Rattus norvegicus: one gene and its partner. The protein of the gene in region 2 interacts with the protein of the main gene of each other region in a pairwise test. Links are inferred from orthologs where the notes say so. Each region holds a gene or a part of one and is shown on either strand. Other genes may lie near its edges. The genes, in order: Rfx6 and Dtx2.

What was found.
Region 1: the proteins of Dtx2 (region 2) and Rfx6 interact in binary tests that used the Homo sapiens proteins (3 or more experiments, as listed by UniProt). The two-hybrid records come from large-scale screens. The link is inferred for Rattus norvegicus from reciprocal best matches to the Homo sapiens genes DTX2 and RFX6.

What each region holds. Positions count from the first base shown.
Region 1 is NC_086038.1:31,610,033-31,615,976, reverse strand, and holds the end of Rfx6 (DNA-binding protein RFX6), read right to left. Parts: intron 5,271-5,944; coding exon 4,758-5,270; intron 3,969-4,757; coding exon 3,756-3,968; intron 929-3,755; coding exon 753-928; 3' UTR 10-752; downstream 1-9. UniProt on the Homo sapiens protein: Transcription factor required to direct islet cell differentiation during endocrine pancreas development. Specifically required for the differentiation of 4 of the 5 islet cell types and for the production of insulin.
Region 2 is NC_086030.1:26,315,335-26,322,002, reverse strand, and holds the start of Dtx2 (probable E3 ubiquitin-protein ligase DTX2), read left to right. Parts: upstream 1-2,495; 5' UTR 2,496-2,639; exon of another isoform or gene 2,640-2,690; intron 2,691-4,011; 5' UTR 4,012-4,167; intron 4,168-6,668. UniProt on the Homo sapiens protein: Regulator of Notch signaling, a signaling pathway involved in cell-cell communications that regulates a broad spectrum of cell-fate determinations.

The DNA of each region.
Region 1 (5,944 bases), on a different chromosome or scaffold from region 2:
TATAGTATCTTAAGCAGCAAGCTTTATTTATTTTTTTCATTTCATATCCATTGTACTTTGGCCTGAAGTCTTCACGTTCTCCAGAAACAGAATCAATCCCCAAAGCAATCACAGCCTTGAAAATGTTTCCACACACTCCTTTTATTTCCTCTTATCATTTTAAATAAAGAAGGAAAGCGTTTATCATTTGTTTTCAGTTACATAGAATTAGAACACTGCTATGTAACAGAAGTCACCACACTAGTGCACAGGGATAGAAGAAGGTCAAGTCACTTGGATCTAGGCTACATACGAAAAAGTCTTGACCTTGTAAACATTCTCACAGGAGGTAGAACTTAGACATTTGACTTTGGTCAAAAGGTGATAGTAAACAATGATTATAAATTAAAGATCTTGTGAAGGCATTGAATACACTTTTCTTCTTTTAGAAACCAAAGGTGAAGGAAAATAGAGAATTTTCAATAAGTTAGAAAGTGAAATATTACATCTTTGTAGTGTCTGCATCTTTAAATTTCCATCGGCTTCATTCGATAGTCCTTGAAGTTACGATTAATAATGGCTTCACATTTTTGCCTAATTGTGTGCAACACAAGTATTTCCATTCACTATGGAGTTGTCCAACACAGCAGTGACCTGAAAATAACATTCAGCCACTCCACCTTCCACTGTCTCTTCTCTCATGGCAGCTGGGGGTAGACAATGACACCGATGCAGCAGAGCCTTGAGTTTCATCTGCATTCTGCATTGTTCATTTAAGTGCCTCCAGCTGCTGTCCCCATAAACACAGTGTTGATGGGAGGTAAAGAGGACACCATTTCTCTGTCACTTGCTCCATTGGAATCCAGATTATCTTGCACTGGATACTGACCAGAAGTTCCATACATACACTGGGATGAAGAGGGAGGAATCTGGGTTTGCAAATTGGAAGCTACAAGGGAAAACACAAACCATTAAAAACAAATGGATGCATTCTGTTCAAAGGCCATTCATTTTGAACCTTTGATGGTTTGGGCATCTAGCACGTATAAGGTGTTTTCAATGCAAGTGTGCATGATTCGCCAGAACAATAATATTTCCTTTGATTTTCCCACTTGTACTCCTATGTATCATTTCTACATATTTCATAGAAAAGACAAATATTATATTACATTCTGCCACTAAAAGATATCTTCACTACTTCTACCTCGTGTTCGCACCTCTGATCACCATCTCTCCCATGACCCATATGGCAGCCTCAGTCTCTCACCCTTGCTTCAGTCTTTCACCCTTTGAAGAGCTAGAAAGATGATGCTGACTTGTAAAGCAGTTGTATTCTTCTGTCAGATGACCATGACTTATACTCTAGGAACAAAATCCAGTCTTCTTGCTATGATTCACAAAATTCTACACAAACTGACTTTTGAAATTTACTCTCATATGCTTAGCTTCGCAAGGCCCATTGATTTTTCTTTCTGCTCAATTTTCCCCCTGAATTCAGAGGCTCTGTAATGACTGTTTCTTCTGTCTAGATCTTCTTCATCTGATTTTCAGTGTTTCTGGATTCCCCAGCTCTCAATTCAAATGTCTCCACCTCAGGATTCCATTCCCGACCTCTGCCTCAGAGAGCTCCCACTTTGCCAATCACCACTTTACATATTTCAAAAAAAACTTTAAATTATCTTTTAATAAACTGTCTTAGTTGAGTGTTTCAAGTAATGGGTTTATAGCGTCTTCAGTACATATAGTCCTTACACTTGTTCTGATTTGTTCCCATCCCCCACTGACTTCCCCATAGTCAGTTCCCTCTCCAGCCTGTTCCTCCTTCCCCAGTTAGTTCCATCACATGTATTCCATTACTATATATTTTCCATGTCTATTAAGAGCTCTTCCTCCTTTCTCATGATCCTTCATGGCCTACATGCACACACATATATAAATGCATCTCTCTACATATATATATAGAGAGATATACATATACATATATATAATGTTTCACATATGAGAGAAAGCATGTGGTAGTTATCTTTCTAATGAAGTTATCTTTGTAATGTATTCATTTGTATGTTCATGACTCTTCCCCTCCGAGAACATAAACCTTCTCCAAGAAGAAACTCTGTCTTGATTACCTCGGTATCCTCATACCCACAATCTGATACATAGTTGCTTTAAAAAACCTTCCTTAACATGTTCAAACGGGTCTACTTCCTTCTTGCATGGTTGATGCCTTCTCTTGTCAAGCCAACGAGCTCTCTGTCTCGAAGGATCAGGCTTCCTAACTGAATGAGCACGGAATGAGTCCAGGCCCCACTGGGATTATTCACTTGTTCTCTTTCCCCTTTCACTCTGATGCCCAGTTTGCAATCTGCTCATTAGCCAGCTCTGACAGCTAAAGCTTAGAAGCCACCATACTTCCAAGCCATGTTCCATCAACGTTTCCATTATCTCTACGAGTAAACAGAACTAATAGTAACAATAGCAACACGGTACATTTTAGTCTGATGGTGAGGACACTTCCTGAAGTGGAATTTTCTGCTTCATTAGAGTAACCTAGAAGCAATGGCTATTAGCAGATAGCAGGAGATGAGCTACTAGACTGCTCAGGTGCGTTTGTGATGGCCACAGGAAGGGAAGAAGTACTTCCTATTGAGTTATTGGAAAAGTACACTGAGTGATGAGAGATGGAATGTATTTCATTTTCTCGGTGCTTCTATTGGGATCACGTACCTTTCACTGACACTAGTATAAAAATAAATTCCACTGAAGAATGGTTTCAGGCGTCTCATGTAAACATCAACACTCTCTTTTGATATGTGATGGTTACAAACTTTCTTGGCGATACTGCGTTATTAGTTTTCCAAACTAAATGTAAACATGGCTTCAGGGTCAATACCTATGCTATCAGAAATAACTTATTAACGTCGACTAAATGTATGTATAGATTTAAGGTTATTAGCTTGGTGCTAGAAGTCAAACCCTGGGCTTCGCGTATGACAGGCAAGGAAATGTTTTGCTGCCAGAGTCATACCTGAAGCCCCTAGATTTATTTGGACTTGTGCCTCCCTCATCGATTTGTTAAGTTCCTCTGTGCAGCCAGCTAGGCAGTGCATCCAGTCCCTGCATAGATGAGGCTAAGATTGGAAGAAGCAGCTAGGAGACTTCCTGGCAGGCACACTGATATGCTTATGTGGACTTGAATTACATGCTATATATAACGATTAAAAGTAGCGACAGTTACTGCAAGGCTATTCAATCCCACTTTACAATTGAGAAAATACTAGCTGCCACCATTGCAGGATTTCTGTTAGCTACTGTAAGCATTCAGAGTGGTACGGGGTGCTAATGGTGATGATGGGGTCCAAAGATCACTCCTGACACTTTCTAGTGAGTCCAATGATGGTCGTGAAAAAAAAATGAGGAAAATGTATCATTTTTCTTCTCAGATAGTTCACTATCATTTCAAATGCCTTTGGCAAGCTGTAGTAAACTTTTTATACATAGTACATATAAGTTGTTATTTCTGGAAGAAATAGCAGATCTTAAAGAAGGTGTGTACTTAATCATTTCAAAGAATGAGAAGTGGAGATGTATTCTTTACTCAAACACAAAAACAAACATAAAATGATGATAAAATCACTTTAGGGCCATGCATGCCTCGTTCACTGAACATCTCCCCACCCCCATCCCCACCCCCCCCCCGACCCCCTAGCCAGGTCATTCTGCATAGCTAAAGCTCATGGCTTCTTACAATGCTTCCAAAGACTAGGAAAACAATTTACCCACTACAGGAGTCCGACATGTGACAGGAGAGGATGTGTGTGCATAAAACAAGTTGCTCTGCTTCCGGCCGCTGTCATCTAAAATGTTAAGTGGATCATGGATGTCACTGTAGGGAGGCAGGGAGCGAACACTGCTGATGACCGAAACGTGTTGGTTCACCATTGATCCGAGCCTATGTGCCTCTGGGTAGTTTATATTGTTTCCATAGTACCCTAGAATGGAACAAGTTGAAAATGTTCTATTTGCTCTCTGCTGAATCACCCCAGGAAAGGAAAAAGAAACATCATCGCTGGGTAAAAATATTAAATAGTCAGGATGATTTCTATTAGCTCGAGACTTGAACTCACGCCTTATTTTATAGCATGGTTTACTATAGTAGTTTTTAGATAAAAGGTAACTGGCATATTCTTCATTTTGAAACTGACTATACGTTTTTCATATTTTCTATAACTAAATTTATAAAGCATATCTATGAAGAAAGGTATAAGTACTGCTTTAAACCGCAATATTTCTCAAACAGAATTTCTCCCCACAAAGCCATGTTCATGGAAAAATTCAGGACTACACTTAGGAGAAGGTCTTTTTAAAAGTTTAATAAATCCAATGTCTTTCGATCTCCTTAACTTCAGGGTTACTTTTTTTTTGCTTTCTTTTATTTTTACAGAATTAAATAATAGTGGTTTTAGAACCAATCTTTGAAATATACTATTAATTCTCTGAAAGACATAATCTCTATTGAAAAAAATTTTTTTCAAAGGACAGATTCTTTTTTAATGTATCTAGCATAAGGTTTGACTGTTTAAAAATCAGGTATAAAAAAACCTTTAATAAAACCACAAGAATTAAGGAATGTGTTGGGGTATGGCTCTACAGCAGCTAAGATTCTGGGATATTTTACATTTTTTACTGTATATTATGAAGCTCAGCAGGTGACACTCAACGTCAGATTTTTGCTTTGCTGCCTTCTCAAGAGCCAAAAACCCACTTTAGAGGTTACGTACCATTAGGAGAATTAGAAGGTAAGGCTGCTCCTTGGCAGCTGCCAGTTCCTGCGTTACTGAGGAAATTGAAGCTCCCTGTGTTCAAAAACTGCATGTTGTGTGACTCTTGGGTTGCGGGGGATGGCCCATAACCGGAAGGCGGCCTGGAATTATACGGAGACCCAGCACAGCTGCCCCCGAAGAAGTCTCTAGAAAGCTGCTGTTCCGTCCAAGCCATGCATCGCCCGTTCTCTGCACGGTGAGCATAGAGACTTGACGCAGGGTGAGACTGTGCCCTAAACACAGTCTGATAGTTAGAGTTGGTCCCGTAAAAGTCGTGGTTGGCTGGAGGGAGGGTAGGATAAATCGGTTCTGCGTACGTCGGACAGTGCGTTGGAGCTGAGAGAGCTGTGCCCACGCTCGAGGGTCTGCCCGCCATTGGCCCTTGGTTAATAACACTTCCTCTGCTTGCTATGGCTGGAGAAATAGGTGGCGTCATCAGATGGCCAGTACTTTGTGAGAGCTCTATTTGACCTGGAAAAGAGAGTGAGACCATCCTATGAGTAACACAGTAAGACAGGGGATCATGTCTTTTAAAGTATTCGAATGATTTATTAATGCACCCTTTGTTAAAACTAAGCGACCCCTCCCTTGTATAAATAACTGGCGAATATATGTGCACACAAGTTTACAACACAGCTATTTCACAGCAGTGGTAATCTGGAGTTCATAATAGGAAAAGCCGGGGTTGTTTCAGTTTCCCTCAGGGGTTGGGGGACATTGAGGAGGATGGGGAAGAGCTGGGAGAGGAGAGGGGCTATAAAGAGGGGGAAGCACGTGATCAAAATATATTGTGTAAACTATTTTAATAAATAATAACTCACAAGTAGGAAGGGAAATGTACTATGAGGCCGACACTGTACCATAACAAACAAACGATCACAGTGCCGTCGTTTCACAGTCAGCTGAACACAGCACACAAACACCACTGGTGAGCACGGATTCACTCGCGTCTTCCACGCCCTGGGCCTATGGCTTTCAACTGGGATAATCAGGCCGCAGCATTGTGTGTCTGCTTTTGTTTTAACCTTCTGTGTGCCCAACAAATTAATCTATAAAATGAGACTGTGGTAACAGTCCAGTAGCCAACACTATATTCGAAATATTCTCTGACCTCTTGTTCAAACTACTGGAGATTTATTTTGCTG
Region 2 (6,668 bases):
AGCCAACCAATAATGCCATATAGACCCATCATAAAGAAACATAATTGTGGGGGTTGGGGATTTAGCTCAGTGGTAGAGCACTTGCTAGGAAGCGCAAGGCCCTGGGTTCAGTCCCCAGCTCCGGAAAAAAAAGAACCAAAAAAAAAAAAAAAAAAAAAAGAAACATAATTGTGATTGTCTGTAAGAAGTCCATACTTGGGGTTGGGGATTTAGCTCAGTGGTAGAGCGCTTGCCTAGGAAGCGCAAGGCCCTGGGTTCGGTCCCCAGCTCCGAGAAAAAAAAAAAAAGAACCAAAAAAAGAAGTCAATCCATAGGGCAGAAAGCAATTGCATTCTTACCGAAAAGAATTTAAAGACGGGATGGGGGTGTTTTCTCCATTTTTCTAGGATATTTGGCTGGGAAGTGAATTCAGTTGACTTAAGGCAGATTTAGCAAAAACACAGTTTTAATTATGTGCTAATGCACACAATTCAAAATATGAGGCTAGAGGGGGGCGAAACAAACTGGGTTACATCTCGTCATGAGGTCAAGGCCAGCCTGGCTACATAGGGAACAGTTGTCTCAAAAAAAAAAAAAAAAAAAAAAAAAAAGAACGAAAGAAAGATTGGTTACACTTAAACTCTGGAGATGAATTAAGTATGAACACAAGATCATCAAAATGGCTCGTATCACCGAGTCTCATGCCTCCAGTTCGACCCCTGGACTAGTGGGGGAGGAGAGAACTGAAGGGCACGTTCTCAGTCGTCTATATGCATGCTGTGGCGTGACCTATCCCTGCACACAAAATAAGAATAAAAAACAGGAGTCCTGGGGTTGGGGATTTAGCTCAGCGGTAGAGCGCTTGCCTAGCGAGCGCAAGGCCCTGGGTTCGGTCCCGAGCTCCGAAAAAAAAGAAAAAAACAAACAAACGAACAACAACAACAACAACAAAAAACAGGAGTCCTTATCTGTGAGATGGAAATGAGCAGACAGGAGTTCCTTAGAGGGCTGGGGATATGATTGAGTTAGTACAGAGCTTGCCTGTAGGCAGGAAGCCCTGGGTCCCCACCCCTGTGCACCCATGAAGCTGGGTCCAACGGTCCACACCTGCAATCCCACTGCTCAGAAGGTAGAGACTGGAGGATTAGTAGTAGCAGGTCATCTCTGAAGCCAGGCTGAGGCTATTTGACACCCTGTCTCCCAAACAAACGACCCCCCTAGCCCCACTAGGAGGGACTTCTTATGCAGAGCTTTTGGGGACAGACATGTTTTCCTTGGGGCTGTCATTAAGCTCTTTCTGGCTGTATAGGTTATATGTGGGTCCTGGGTGGCTGCCGTCTGCACCAGGAAATGCCAGGTGCCATCCATTCATCAGAAGTAATGAGCAAAGCAGCTCTGTCTTATCAGACTGTCCCTCTGGAGCGTCAGATGGAGACCAATTAGCAGAGGCAGGAAGCAACACAATTCTGCCTTTCCAAGCAAAACAGTAGCAACTCCCCCAGCCCCCTCCCCCGCCCTCCGCCCGCGCGCTCCACAGTGCCGGCGCTGAGGCCAGGTCTCCTTGACTTCTCTGGCTGTGCTCTCCTTTTTGCTGGGTGAGCTGGGAGCAGATTCTGGGGAATGGAACAGGCTCTGTCACGTGAATTTTAAGGACTTCTTTTGCAAATCCAGGGTCTCCTACCTACTTGCCAGATTAAGTGCTCTACCACTGAGCCATGCCACCATAAGACAAGGCTTAACATTTTTAATAGATTACTTTCTTATTTTTAAATTTAAATGTACGTTTCTTAAGACTGTGCTTGTAGGGGTTGGGGATTTAGCTCAGTGGTAGAGCGCTTGCCTAGCAAGCGCAAGGCCCTGGGTTCGGTCCCCAGCTCCGGAAAAAAAAAAAAAAAAAAAAAAAAAAAAGACTGTGCTTGTAAGCTCAGCAGTTAGGAAACAGAGGCAGGAGATTCAGGAGTTTAAGGCTAGCCTTGGCTACATAGCAAATTCAGAGGGGGTATATGAGATCCTGAACCCCCTCCACCCCCAAAAGGTGAATCTTACAGCTGGGGATTCATTAGTACTAGAACACTTGTCTGAAGTGCTTGCAATAACTTTGGTCGTCTAAAGTGCTTGCATTAACTTTGATCCTCAACACCACAAAAAGAAAAATCAGGGGTTGGCAATATGGCTTAGAGAGTAAAGGCATTTGCTGACAAGCCTGACACCTTGAGTTCGATCCGTGGAACCCACGTGAAGGTGGACGCGGAGAAGGGGCTCCTAAAGTTGTTCCTTGACCTCTATAAGTACACCCACCTCCAGAATATACACACATAATAATAAAAAGAGATATAAAAATTATTAAAAATCAAATGCATCAGTAATTAATGAAGGAGTAAATCAGTAGGAGAAAGAGAAGGAAGGCTGGGTACCTTTACAACAGCTGGTGCGCTTTGGTTCAGCCCACTCAGCTTCACCAGAACTACATTTCCCAGAAGGCACCGCGCGAGGGGGACATGCGCAACGCGGCGCTTGGAGGCTGCGACGCCGAGTTTCACTCCGGCTGCCTCCTGCTCGGAGTCGGAGATATACTCGGGGGTTCTTCCCAGGCCGAGCCGGAGCTGAGCCCGGAGGTCGGCGCTCCTCTCAACCTGTTCCTTCTGCTTCCCTCAGACTCGGTGAGCGGGACGGGCGAGCCACCTGCTGGCGCCCAGGCTAGGGTCCTGAAGGTGGGTGGGTGGGTTGAGGAGAGGGGGCTATTGAGCCAAGCTGAGACCGGAAGGGGGCGGTCGTGCGAGGGAGGGAGGGCCGTGCCGGCGGGTTGGGTGAGTCCTGGGGGCGTTGGGAGCCCTGGGCACCGGGTACCAGGGTCCTGGAGGCGGGAAGTCGCAGTTGGGACGCTCTGAGCGTTGGGGACCGGCTGGGTGTGGTGAGAGCCTTATATTTGCAGAGACGGGGGTCGCATCTCTGGCAGTTTGAGTCCTACAGGACCTGGAAGAGCCGTGAGGCTATTGCTACCCTGGTTCCCTGAGGGGACAGTTTTAGTCATCCAGGCGATAGTGATCCACCACTGGCTGAGAGTTGGACTTTGGGGGCGTTTGCCTTTCCATTCTCGGTCTCTGTCAAACTGGGTCCCCGGGGCACTTTGGGGTGTCTCTGTTTTGAAGCTCCGCTTTTCATCCTTTCCCTCAGACAGCCGCAGGGTTGCCCATATTAGCTTTGCCTCCACAGTGGCGTAAATACGAATGTGTACACAGGCAAGACATTTAAGGAACTCCATACCATCTTGGCCCCTTTAAAGTTCTAGAGAGCCGAGCGATGTGTTGCATGCTTGTAATCCCAGCATTTGGGAGACCAGGGCTTGAGGGTAGTTTAAAGCTTGCCTGTGCTGCATAACAAGATACTATATTACACACACACACCCACACTCCCAAAAAGTGTTAGCCAGGTATGGTGATTTATGCCTGTAATTTCAGTACTTGTGAGGCAGAAGCATGAGACTCAGGAGTTCCAATCTAGCCCTAAGCTATATACTGTGGACCCTGCTCAAAAAAAAAAAAAAAAAAAAAAAACCAAAAAACAAAACATTTAGCACAAGGCCCTGGGTTCGGTCCCCAGCTCCGAAAAAAAGAAAAAGAAAAAAAAAAAAAAAAAACAACCCACCAAAAAAAGAAAAAGTAAGAGTTCTGTGATGTAGACTTCCCTCCCAGTAGCCAAGAAAGTGAGGGTTGACGTCAGCTGCTTGGGTATCTAGTCTCTTTGCTTATTTACAGTGTGACTTTGGTCAAATTTTTACCCTCTCTGGGTTGATTTACTTCATGGACCGCCCGTGGGACTTCCTTCTGAGGTCCTCATATGGGCTTTTCTGGGAAAGGGCTTAGTTGAGGGGACTGAGAAAAACTGTCCCTACTTTGTGCTCCCTGCCCAGGCTGTTGTACAATAAGCCTGGTGGTTTCCAGTCGCCTGCCACAGCACACGGGACCCAACATCTGTGCGCTCGTTTTCTCTTGCCGTTTCTTCATTGAGGACTTAATCATCTTTTTGGCAAAGGTACCTCGGAATTGGTGTGGCTGAGTCAGCAAGCCCTCGGATTTTCCCGGTTCTTGTTTGCTGTTCATATCAAGATGGGAGCCCAGACAAGTTATTGCTTCTGACGATCTCCATCAAGAAGGGACAGTTTGGTGCCAGCCCTTCAGTGAAGAGGAGGTGAGAGCCATGGGGAAATCAACCTTGCTGCTTTTGAAAGCTGGTTTCAAAGGAGGTGGGTGTGGGCATGGAAGGGAGATGGCTCAGTCCATACAGTGCTTGTCTGGCAAGCAGGAGGGTCCAGATTCGCTTTCCAGAACCAACGTAGAAAGCCTGGCATGGTGGTTTGTGCTTGCGCTTTTCTGCTAGGGAGGAGACAGGTGAATCCCTGCGGTGTGCTAGGCAGTCAACCAGCCTAGGTTGATGGCACCTGCAGAACTGTAGCCCAGGCTATCCCCTAGCCTCCAGGAACCCCTAGTGCATCTGTGCACACACGCACATTGCTTTTCTACAGACACATACATAACGAAGCAGGCCGCATGGACGGTGGGATTCTGGGGTTCCAGGAGTGAAGTGAGGCCTGGGAGTTGATTGTTGATTGCCAGCTGTTGCAAATAAATTCATTTGGCTCCTTGCCAGCGCTGCTTCTGTCTAACCAGTCTTAGAGGATACATCCTTCCTTAGACATGCCTTATGGGCTGGAAACAGCTTCGGTAAAGTGCTTAGCCAGCATACAAGACCTGGGTTCAAGCCCCAGCACTTCAAAACGTTTATTTTTTATTATTGTGCGGGCCCTGGTGCACGTGTGGAGGTGACAGGGCAGTTTGCAGGAGTCACGTCTCCCTAGCAGGTAAGTTCTGGAGATCTAAGTCAAGTAATCATAATTGGCAGTAAGTACTTTTACCCGCCAAGCCATCTGACTGGTCCTGCCTTTTTTTTTTTTTTTTTTTTTTTAAAGAAATAACGCTATCCCTACTGCACAAATCTGACCACCTGGCTTCTATCCTTGGCTTCCACGGTGGAAAGAGAGACTGGATTCCCGAAAACCATCCCTTCTACACTCCTCCATTTCAAACACAAGCCCACATTCACACAAAAATAATAAATTAAAAAGAAAATAATGCCTAGCAAGGTGATGGATGCTTGTCATCCCACACTCGGGAGGCTTAGGTAGAACTGAAGGTTTGAGGTAAGCCTGGGGTATGTAGCCAGTTCACCCTTGCATGGTGGTATAAGTTGCAATCCCAGCATTCAATAAACTGAGGCAAGAGGATCATGAGTGTGGGGCCATCCTTGGATACGTAGTGAATTCTAACCCAGCCTGGGCTACTCAGGGAGATATCTCAAAACCAAAAAAAAAAAAAAAACGACCAACAGACCCATGCTTTATGGGCCAGAGAAACAGGTCACTATCACTGCATATGAACCAGAAATGTTCATTTCTCTGTTTGCACAAACCTCTGCTGGGTGCCAGATGAGATCGCTGTCTCTCTGGCAGCTCCTCAGGTGGAAAGACAGATGCACCAGTTAGTGACATGGAGTTTCGATACGTGTAGAGAGAGCTGAGGTGAATTATGAGGTGAGCCCCTCTCCTCCAGGAGGAGGTAGGCAGGGTCAGGATGACTTGTGAAAGTGACTATGGCCAAGGCTCACTGTAAAGTAAGGCCATGCATGGAACTGTAATTGTAGTGTCAGAGGGAGAAAGCGGGAAGGAGTGTCAGCATTTGCATAGTCAGGAAGCTGCTGGCCAGGGCTGGGCCAGGCTGCTGTTAGTGGAGCTGTACCAGCCAGAACTAGAGTGACTGAGGAGTGGAGAGGCTGGGATTGTGGGCACTAGGCAGATGTAGCCGGTTCTGAAGGCCTTGAATTGTCACCCAAAGATGTGCATACACTGGAACCTGGTCTCCAATGTGCTTGTGGTTCTATGCACACTACCCTAGGGGTAGAGAGATGGTACAGTGGTTAAGGACACTTCCTGGTCTTGCAGCTGACCCTAATTCCGTTCCAAGAACCCATGTGAGGCTGCCCACAGCCATCTGTAACTACAGCTCCAGGGAATTCAGTGCCCTCTTCCTGTCTGTGTTGTCACCCTTCTGAGTATGGCCTAAAATATACAATAGCAAATCGATCTGTTTATACATGTGTGTTTGTATATATGTCTGTATGTGTTTTAAAGAGGTCATCAGCTTTGGGGGCTTCACTCGTGAGCAGACTAACGCTGACCTTGTGCTGTGAATTGTCTCCTTAAATGAGTGCTAACTCAGTTGTTTTAGGGCTGGGAATGTAGCTTAGTTGGTAGAGTGCTTGTCTACCTTGCTCAAACCCTAGGTTCCATCCCCCAGCTCTGCATAGGTGCGTTGTTTCACTTCTGTGGCCCTAGCATGCAAAGTCATCCTTAGGTACTTAGGCCAGCTTGGATGGAGTACATGAGACCTTGTCTCAAAGGTAAATAACGTTAAAAAACAAACCAAAGCAAAATGAGTGTCTTTCAGATTTAAAAATTATTACTATTACTATTATTACTACTACTACTATTATTAGTAGTAGTAATAGTAATAGCATTTGTATTATTTGTATTTCTATTTTTGACAGAGGGTTTCTGTGTAGCCCTGGCTGTCCTGGCACTCTGTAGACCAGGCTGGCCTCAAGTTCAGAGATCTGCCTGCCCCTGCATCCTGAGT